2 linked regions of the Drosophila melanogaster genome follow. The protein of the gene in region 1 purifies or fractionates together with the protein of each later gene. This does not show direct contact. Each region holds a gene or a part of one and is shown on either strand. Other genes may lie near its edges. The genes, in order: Aldh7A1 and CG1227.

Region 1 (3,925 bases):
AAATGGCAGAGGATAAGCCCTGTTCCACCTCATTGTTCCATTCGATGGCCTGGTCCACGTTTTTGGCTTTGAGGATGTACACAATTGGTGCAAAGGTTTCGCGATGGACAACGCTGGCATCGTGCGGCAATCCAGTGATCACTGTGGGCTCTACGTAAAAACCATCCCGCTGGATGACATTACCTCCGAAGGCCACCGTTCCTCCTAAGGATTTCGCTTCCGCGATGGCCGCCTTGTAGTTCTCCACGTTTTGTTGCGTGTGCACGGGACCCACCAGAGTTTGAGCTTCGAGCTGGTGTCCAATCTTGGAAATTAGCTGCTTATATTTACCAACCAGCTCCTTTACGAACTGATCGTGCAGCTTTTCGTGGACAATAATCCTCCTGGTGGTGGTGCATCTTTGACCACTGGTGCCAATGCAGCCGAAAAGTGCGGCGTCCAGGGCCATCTTCACGTTGGCAGATTCATCGATGATTAGGGCATTATTGCCGCCTAGCTCGAGGATCACCTTGCCGAATCTGCGCTGCACTTCAACACCCACATCCCGACCAGTTTGGCAGCTGCCGGTGAAGGAAACGAGGTTAACTCTCTTATCAGCCACCAAGGTCTGACCAACATCGGTTCCTCCTTGGCAGAGGGTCACCACCGGCGGCAGATTGTTCCTACGCAGCACTTCAGCCACAATTTTTGTGGTCGCCACCGAGACCAAGGGAGTGCTGGGAGCTCCTTTCCACAGCACACTGTTGCCGGTGGTTAGGGCGATGGCAGCATTCCAGCCGAACACAGCATTGGGAAAATTGTAGGCCGAAATAACGCCCACCACTCCCAGCGGACGCCAGGCCTCCAGAATCGAATGATCCGCACGCTCCGAGTTGATCAGCTGGCCGGAGTAAATCCTTGAGAGGCCAACCGCATAGTCGCAGATATCTATGAACTCCTGAACCTCGCCCTGTCCCTCGCTGTAGATTTTGCCCACCTCCAGGGAGACGAGCTTTCCCAGTGGTTCCTTGTACTTTCTCAGCTCATCGCCGATTTGGCGCACTATTTCGCCGCGAACGGGAGCTGGAACCTGTCGCCACTGCTTGTAGGCTTCCACCGCCAGCCCGATGGTATGCTCGAGCTCCTGGACATTTCCCTGACGCACTTTGGCAATCGGTTGACCAGTTCCGGGATCGTAGCTGGTAACGGATGGCCCACGACCCTGCCACTGACCCGAATAAACACCTGGATTGTCGCGCTCCAGTCCCAATTCTTTCAGGAAACTGTACTCCGGCTGGTCAATGAGATATGACGAGGACGATGAGTAGCTGGCGGTTTGGGTAACGAGGCGGCGCGGCAGCGCCAGCTTCGAAATATTTCTCAATTGTGCCAACATGCTGCATAATTAAAAACATATATTTACATATATTATAAATTTGTTATCAGTGATCCACATTTTCAGTATCTTAATATCAAAGATTATAGTTTATCTACAGACCAAATTATTTAAATAAAGATTTATTAAATAGTTCATAGAAGCTTGTGATTGAATTAAATACTATTTATTATGGGGACATGTTAAGATCCAGGGTTATTTCTACGAAGAATTGTTGTTCTGGCGGAGGAGAACGGGAGGAGATTTATGGATTACTGATTAAGAGCTGATACCGCTCTTATCGAGCGATAACAGCTCCGTCTGTTCTCTGGTTGCTGGCTGGAAAGTTTTGTTTTCAGATCCCCAGCAGAGCGGATCCACTGATAGCATCTCCACTAGAAGGTACTCACTTGGTAGGTGTCCGGATCGATGGAACGACTGACTGGCCGAGTCGCAAGTCAATTATCAACTGACGGCGGATTCTGAATGCTGAACCAGCGGGACAAATCGGCTTTTGTGGGCAGCTTATCGCAGTCGCAAACTGAATTGAATGCGTTAGGAGAGAGGGAGGGAGGGGAGCTCCCCTGGTTCTTATCAATTGAATTAAAAGAATTGAGAGGTTGAGTGCAGCGTGGTCATGAAAAAGTAGCATACTTTCAGATGGTTAGTCGAATATTTTATGTGTTGGTTTTGATCATTTCCCTAGGATCCATCGCAAATAATTAGTATACTAAATGCGAACCTATTGATACTGTTGCACTAATTTCAGTATAATGTATTTATTATTCATATTTGTTTTAGTTATCAGTTAAGCTTCGCATTTTTCGAATGTCCTGATAAAATATCGCTGTTCATATCCGATTTACGCTTTCGATTGGCTTAATCTTCTGTTTCCCTGGCAACAAGTGAACTAAATAAAATGTTTGTTAGTTGGCACATATTTAGCAGTTTGTTTGCCGTTGAAAGTTAATTGTTAAAGTGTTTGAAACAGGACCTACATAATGGAGGTGCTCGAAGAGGGAAACTTAATGGACAGAGTGCCCATTTTACTGCAGCGTGATCTCGAGTTTTACCAGGTGCAATACCCTAATACTGACTTTGTTGGAAATTACGTAACCCATCTCCACATAACAGACACATCAGCGGGTACTCCAGGAACCAATTTGCTCCGGAGTTGTGGGTGGAAAGCTGGATTTTCCACGCTACGCTTCCTTTGCGGCCATTAAATTAATAAGATGGTAGGTAAAACTTACATTTCGATTTCTAAGAAAATGGTTTAAAAAAATGCTATATATTTATTTAGTAAAATGAAAATAAACAGTTTATGTAAGCTTTATTTTATCCTAGAATTGGTTGAAAAGCTTGTGCTCTTTAATTCAAAAACAGGTTCGGGCAGATGAGTAGTATTGTGTGGTTTGTCCATACCATCATTGGTGTTGGAGGAATAGATTACCATACTGATCCATTGATGCAATTGCACCACATCGGTGTAAGTTCGCGAGTTGGAGCACTTCACCTCGACGGAGTTCGCGATTCCAAACAGAACTGTCCGGTTTGGCCCAATGTAGTCAATTTCACGGGTCAAGGCTGCGCCAGATGGTTCGTCACAGGAGTCCAGATCTTTGTGGCCGGCACAGAACTGGCCATGGTCCAGTTTTCCACATGCCTGCGGCATTCGGATCACAGTTTTGGACCTCAGCATAGGGTGATTTGTCCGAGTTCTTCCATGTAGTTCCATTGAAATAGTCCAGTTCATCGGCGAACGTCTGCATCCGTGAGTCCATAAGAATGCAGACCGGAATTATATGCTCTTTGTATACTACGGTTCGCAGCAGTTTCATTAGGCCCATGTTATTCGCCTGCGTTTCCGGATTAAAGTTGGCGTTACTGAAGAATGCAGCGACTATGTGGTCTTCTGCCAGCTCAGAACCAATTCTTCCGTACTCTCCCAACCGTGCTCTAATAACTCCAATGGAGTCACCACAATGTACATCTGTCAGGATAAATCGCTCGTGGATCAGGGTTCCCACGCCAACGATGCGTCCGAAATGGTGCAGGATGGCCGTCCAGGGACCAACTATATCTGGCGACAGGCCATCCCTTCTTTCTCCACAGATGTTCCCCAAGAATTGCGCCGATCCTGTTCCCGATAAGAAAATCAGTAGACTTGTGAGCACCGCAACAATTTCTAGTTCGCTGTGCATTGCTCTTGAATTAAAGTTTTCATACTAAGTTTGACTTAGCTCGGTGTCCTTTATAAATGCTTCTCGGCTACTCTTTTTAAAACATTATCAGCCGTTTCCAGTTCTACATATACATTATATAAAAATATAATAATAAATATAGAAATAAATACTTATCAGCCATTGCAGAATGTCAATCCAGCATAAACTTCAAGAAAAAAGTCTCTGATAACCTATTACAATCAATGCTGATTTTCCAGAAGAATTTGAAATTGTACACATGTATTGCAGATCAAAATTTATTTTCGCATATACTATTTTTATCACAAGAAAACCATAATCGACTTCTTCCACTATCAGATACCTCTTACTTAGCTAAATTTCAACA
Region 2 (3,925 bases), on another chromosome or scaffold:
CGCGACCCATAAAGCGGAGGAGCGAAAATTACAGTATGACATAAAACGGTGCCAGCAGACCTGCGAATCGTTGGATCTTAAGTCCGCTATCACAGAACCAGATCTCGATTTCTTTTGGCCACCTAAACCAAAAGATGAAGATGAATCACAGAGCGACGCCGACGATCCTGAAGTCGAGGTGCCACCTAAGCAAGAACCATACAGTCCCTCGGAGCAATTAGAACTCCTCACTGGCTACCTGCGCACAGCCTATTGCTTCTGCTATTGGTGTGGGACCCATTACGATGACGCCGAAGATCTGGGCTCCAACTGTCCAGGACTCACTCGTGACGAACACTAGCTCCAATCAATAAAATAAAATAAAAAAACTAGCTTGATTGCTTACACATAATTTCATAAAATCAGCAGGTTTAAAATATTTTACAATAAGTAGTCAAAAAACAGTAAGCGGTGTATCTGGTTTGGAGGAATGTCTATAAATGAGTTGTAATCCAGTTAGTGGGAGCTACAAGCGACCCTCCAGTTTCTGTATCAGATCGTGGGTCCTTTCGATAACACTAAACACGAATGGCCGTTCCATTGGATCTGTTCGCAGCATGTACTTAATTAATTCGTGCATGTCCTAGACAAATATTTGGAATTAGTTTCCTTTACAATATAAAAAAAAGGTTTATTACCTCTGTGTAAATTGAATCCTCTGGAATGTTTATGTTCCCACTGAGCACAGCCAAAGCCACGCTGTCACCTCGCTCGTAGATGGGATCGTAGGGTGAATTAAAGTAGCACATTGCATAGAGCACACAGCCAAGACTCTGAAAGAGGGAAATGTTAAGGAAGAACTTCAATAACGCTCTCTTGGATCTGCTTTACCCATATGTCAGTGCGCTCGTCAATTGTGCAATATGTTTTCACGGTAAATAACTCTGGAGCCCGGTAGACAATGGAGCTCCTCTCCTCGGCTTCGTCCTGCAAGCGCTGAGCATCCGTCTGGCCCACAATCTGCAGTCGGGCTTCTGTCATTGACCCGAGATCCACAATAATTGGCTCAAAAGAGTCCGACAGGCAGATGTTGGCCGTTTTTAGATCTCGGTGGGCCAGAGGCACCGGCATTGCCTCGTGGATGGCCTTCAATCCCTCGCAGACGCCCAGAAAGATTTGCAGGATCTGGGCCTCGGGCATGTGGTCCTGTTTCCGCGATCGCAGCTGAAGGTGGTCCGCAAGAGATCCGTGCTTGTAATAGGGAAGCACAATGAACAAGGTGCTCGTTGTGTTTATAACTATGTCCGCCTGGCCCTTCAGCTCGTAATCCACTACCCGGATCACGTTTTCCGAGTCAATTTTTCGACAGTTTTCGATTTCTCGCAGAGCTATATTCTGATCATCGATGCTGTGGCAGGTGATGCGCTTTATCGCATAGCTACGTCGCGTGGAGGCGTTTTCCCCAAGGTCGATTAGACTGAAGCCCCTGTTTAAACACTCAGATTAGATATATCAGAGGAGATAGTGGGAAAAATGTGGTACAAACCCCGTCGCCAGCCTTTCGCGGATTGTGTATCGAGATCCGTTTATGTTCAGGGTCTCCTTGCGGCAACTAAAGAGGCAGCCGCGTTTCATGATCAGCGTCCATCCTATACTCTGCATTTTTCTTAAATTATGCTATGTACTTCACAACTTTAAGCTTAACAACTAGTTCAATTCACATACAAAATCTAAATAGAAAACACAAAGCTGAAGTGGAATGTTTATACTGGAACGAATTTATGAAGTTCGGTGATTTTTAACCATATTTGTAAGATTCTATATTAACTTTAACTTTAAAAACTAGGCACTTTCGTATTATTTTTACGATTTTAGTTTCTTGACGTATTAATAAATTAATATTTATTTTGATTCCTTGGTGTATAGATTAAAGGAATTCAAGATTCTGTCATCGCATAATCGCAATTTCACTGCACTCCAAACAGCTGATTCGAAGACAGGGCGGTCATATTTGCCATGTGGCTGTGTGCGTTGCCACCTAGTTGCGAATTGTTGCTTACGGATTTCTTATCGTGCGGAATATAAACTTAGCATTTTTCTAATTTAATCAATTATAAGTATGGAGGATGACGCGTGGCTGGACCTCGTGGGCATCAGCGCCGATCCGCCCAACAGACGCAACAAGTGCGAGAAATGCAAGTGAGTGGTGAAGCTGGGAATCTGCCATAAAAATTAAAGTATTTTCATGAACTCTATTATAGACGACCCGTGGTTGTTTGCTGGTGCCCGGCTTTACCGCATCCACCTGAGGCGGTGTCCTCACAGATTGTTATACTGCAACACCCTGCAGAGGAGAAGAGATCGCTACGCACTGCACTGATGCTGCAGTTGGGTTTGGAACCGGGAAAATGTGTCGTCTACAAAGGCAAGCGGTTTCCAAACCATAGAAACCATGCTGATCTGCAGAGGATTTTGGACTCTCCACAAACACTGCTTCTGTATCCCAGTCGGGACTCGGTCCCACTGGAAGAGGTGGACCACAGTGCGGGTCCTTATACACTGGTGCTCATCGATGGTACCTGGCCTCAGGCTAAAGCCATTTACGCTAGCAGTCCGGCTCTACACCGCCTGCGACAGGTGAAACTCATCGCCGTGGGTATAAGTGACTACATCATCCGTACACAGCCTACTGAAGGATGCCTTAGCACACTAGAGACCGCTGCGCAATGCCTGGCAGTGCTGGAATCTCGGCCAGAGCTGAGGCAAACGCTCGTGCGACCGCTGCACACGCTGTGCAAGTACCAACTAGACAACGGAGCCGTGGAGCACCAGTCCAAGGAGTTTCTATTGAAGAACAACCAGTACCCCAAGCCCATTGGCAAGCGGCTCAGCCGTCTGCTTAGAAACACCGCCTGCGATGGCAATGAGGAAACGTGATAGCCGGGGCAGAAAATACCAAATAACTTGCAGGTGCCTGTGCTTTATAGCCAATTTTGTGTTCCGGTCGTAGCCGTATTTGATTTAGTGACGCTAACATTATAATTTTCTACTGATAAGTCCGAGATGTGACCTTTGATGTTATTCATACAGTGGGTTTGTTTCTAGCATCCGTGAGGGCTCTAGTAAACACGCACTTGACGATGGCATAGCCCCGCATGCAAGCATTCGTCTCGTCCTCTGAGGATTACACATTAAAGATTTCGTTTGTAATTAAAAAGTTCTGCCTAGAACACTCACTGCCTTCAGCTTCGCAGGCCTCAACGGAATCGCCAGTGGCTGGCCAAACATATTTGCGCACCAGATCCGTATTTAACTTATAGTCCGTCATCAAACCGGACTTTTCGAAAAAGCAGTGAAAATAGCACTGCAAGTAATCTTTGAGTATCGGGAGGCGAAGGATCTGCAAAGCACACCTACCATGCTGGTTACCTTATCCTTGTCATCTGGCAAATCCCCAGTGTTATTAAACTGCAAGACATTGGCTGAAAGAGGCGATAAATGTAGTCATATATTGCCTTCGTTAACCTTTGCACTCACTCATCGACGTTATGAAACTAGCATTGCAGTTACGATTAACCTCGTCAAAATCTACGTAGTCAGCCTCTCTAGGAGCTGAAGTGGTGGTGGATATGTCATCCACATCGCCATCGAAACTATCATAGTTTATGATGAAAATATCACCATTATCCTTGGCGTGATCCTGTAGAGCCCTGGCACAATTCGGGCTCAAGATCAGAAAAGCAATGACAGCACAAGCTCTAACTAACGCGGAATACATCTTGAACAAACAAAGTGCTGGATGGGATTCTGTGACTGACCTTTTATAGATCACATTCTCATGCATTGAATAGATTTCATTGTGCCATGCACAGTTACAATAATTTGACATATTATTTCCGGAAATTGAGTACCAATAAAGTATACTTTTAATGAACTTCACACAAAA

What was found.
Region 2: the proteins of Aldh7A1 (region 1) and CG1227 purify together in Drosophila melanogaster (affinity purification with mass spectrometry, with the first as the bait; one large-scale study listed by BioGRID). This does not show direct contact.

What each region holds. Positions count from the first base shown.
Region 1 is NT_037436.4:19,267,085-19,271,009, forward strand, and holds the start of Aldh7A1 (aldehyde dehydrogenase 7 family member A1), read right to left. Parts: upstream 1,830-3,925; 5' UTR 1,765-1,829; intron 1,377-1,764; 5' UTR 1,376-1,376; coding exon 1-1,375. Other genes in the region: CG14085 (uncharacterized protein), read left to right, coding at 2,356-2,430, 2,489-2,592.
Region 2 is NT_033777.3:7,247,780-7,251,704, forward strand, and holds CG1227 (uncharacterized protein), read right to left. Parts: upstream 1,960-3,925; 5' UTR 1,642-1,959; coding exon 1,526-1,641; intron 1,466-1,525; coding exon 871-1,465; intron 813-870; coding exon 678-812; intron 623-677; coding exon 506-622; 3' UTR 372-505; downstream 1-371. Other genes in the region: CG10053 (uncharacterized protein), read left to right, coding at 1-340; Dtwd2 (DTW domain containing 2), read left to right, coding at 2,099-2,178, 2,241-2,916; Obp84a (Odorant-binding protein 84a), read right to left, coding at 3,062-3,156, 3,217-3,343, 3,397-3,461, 3,517-3,741.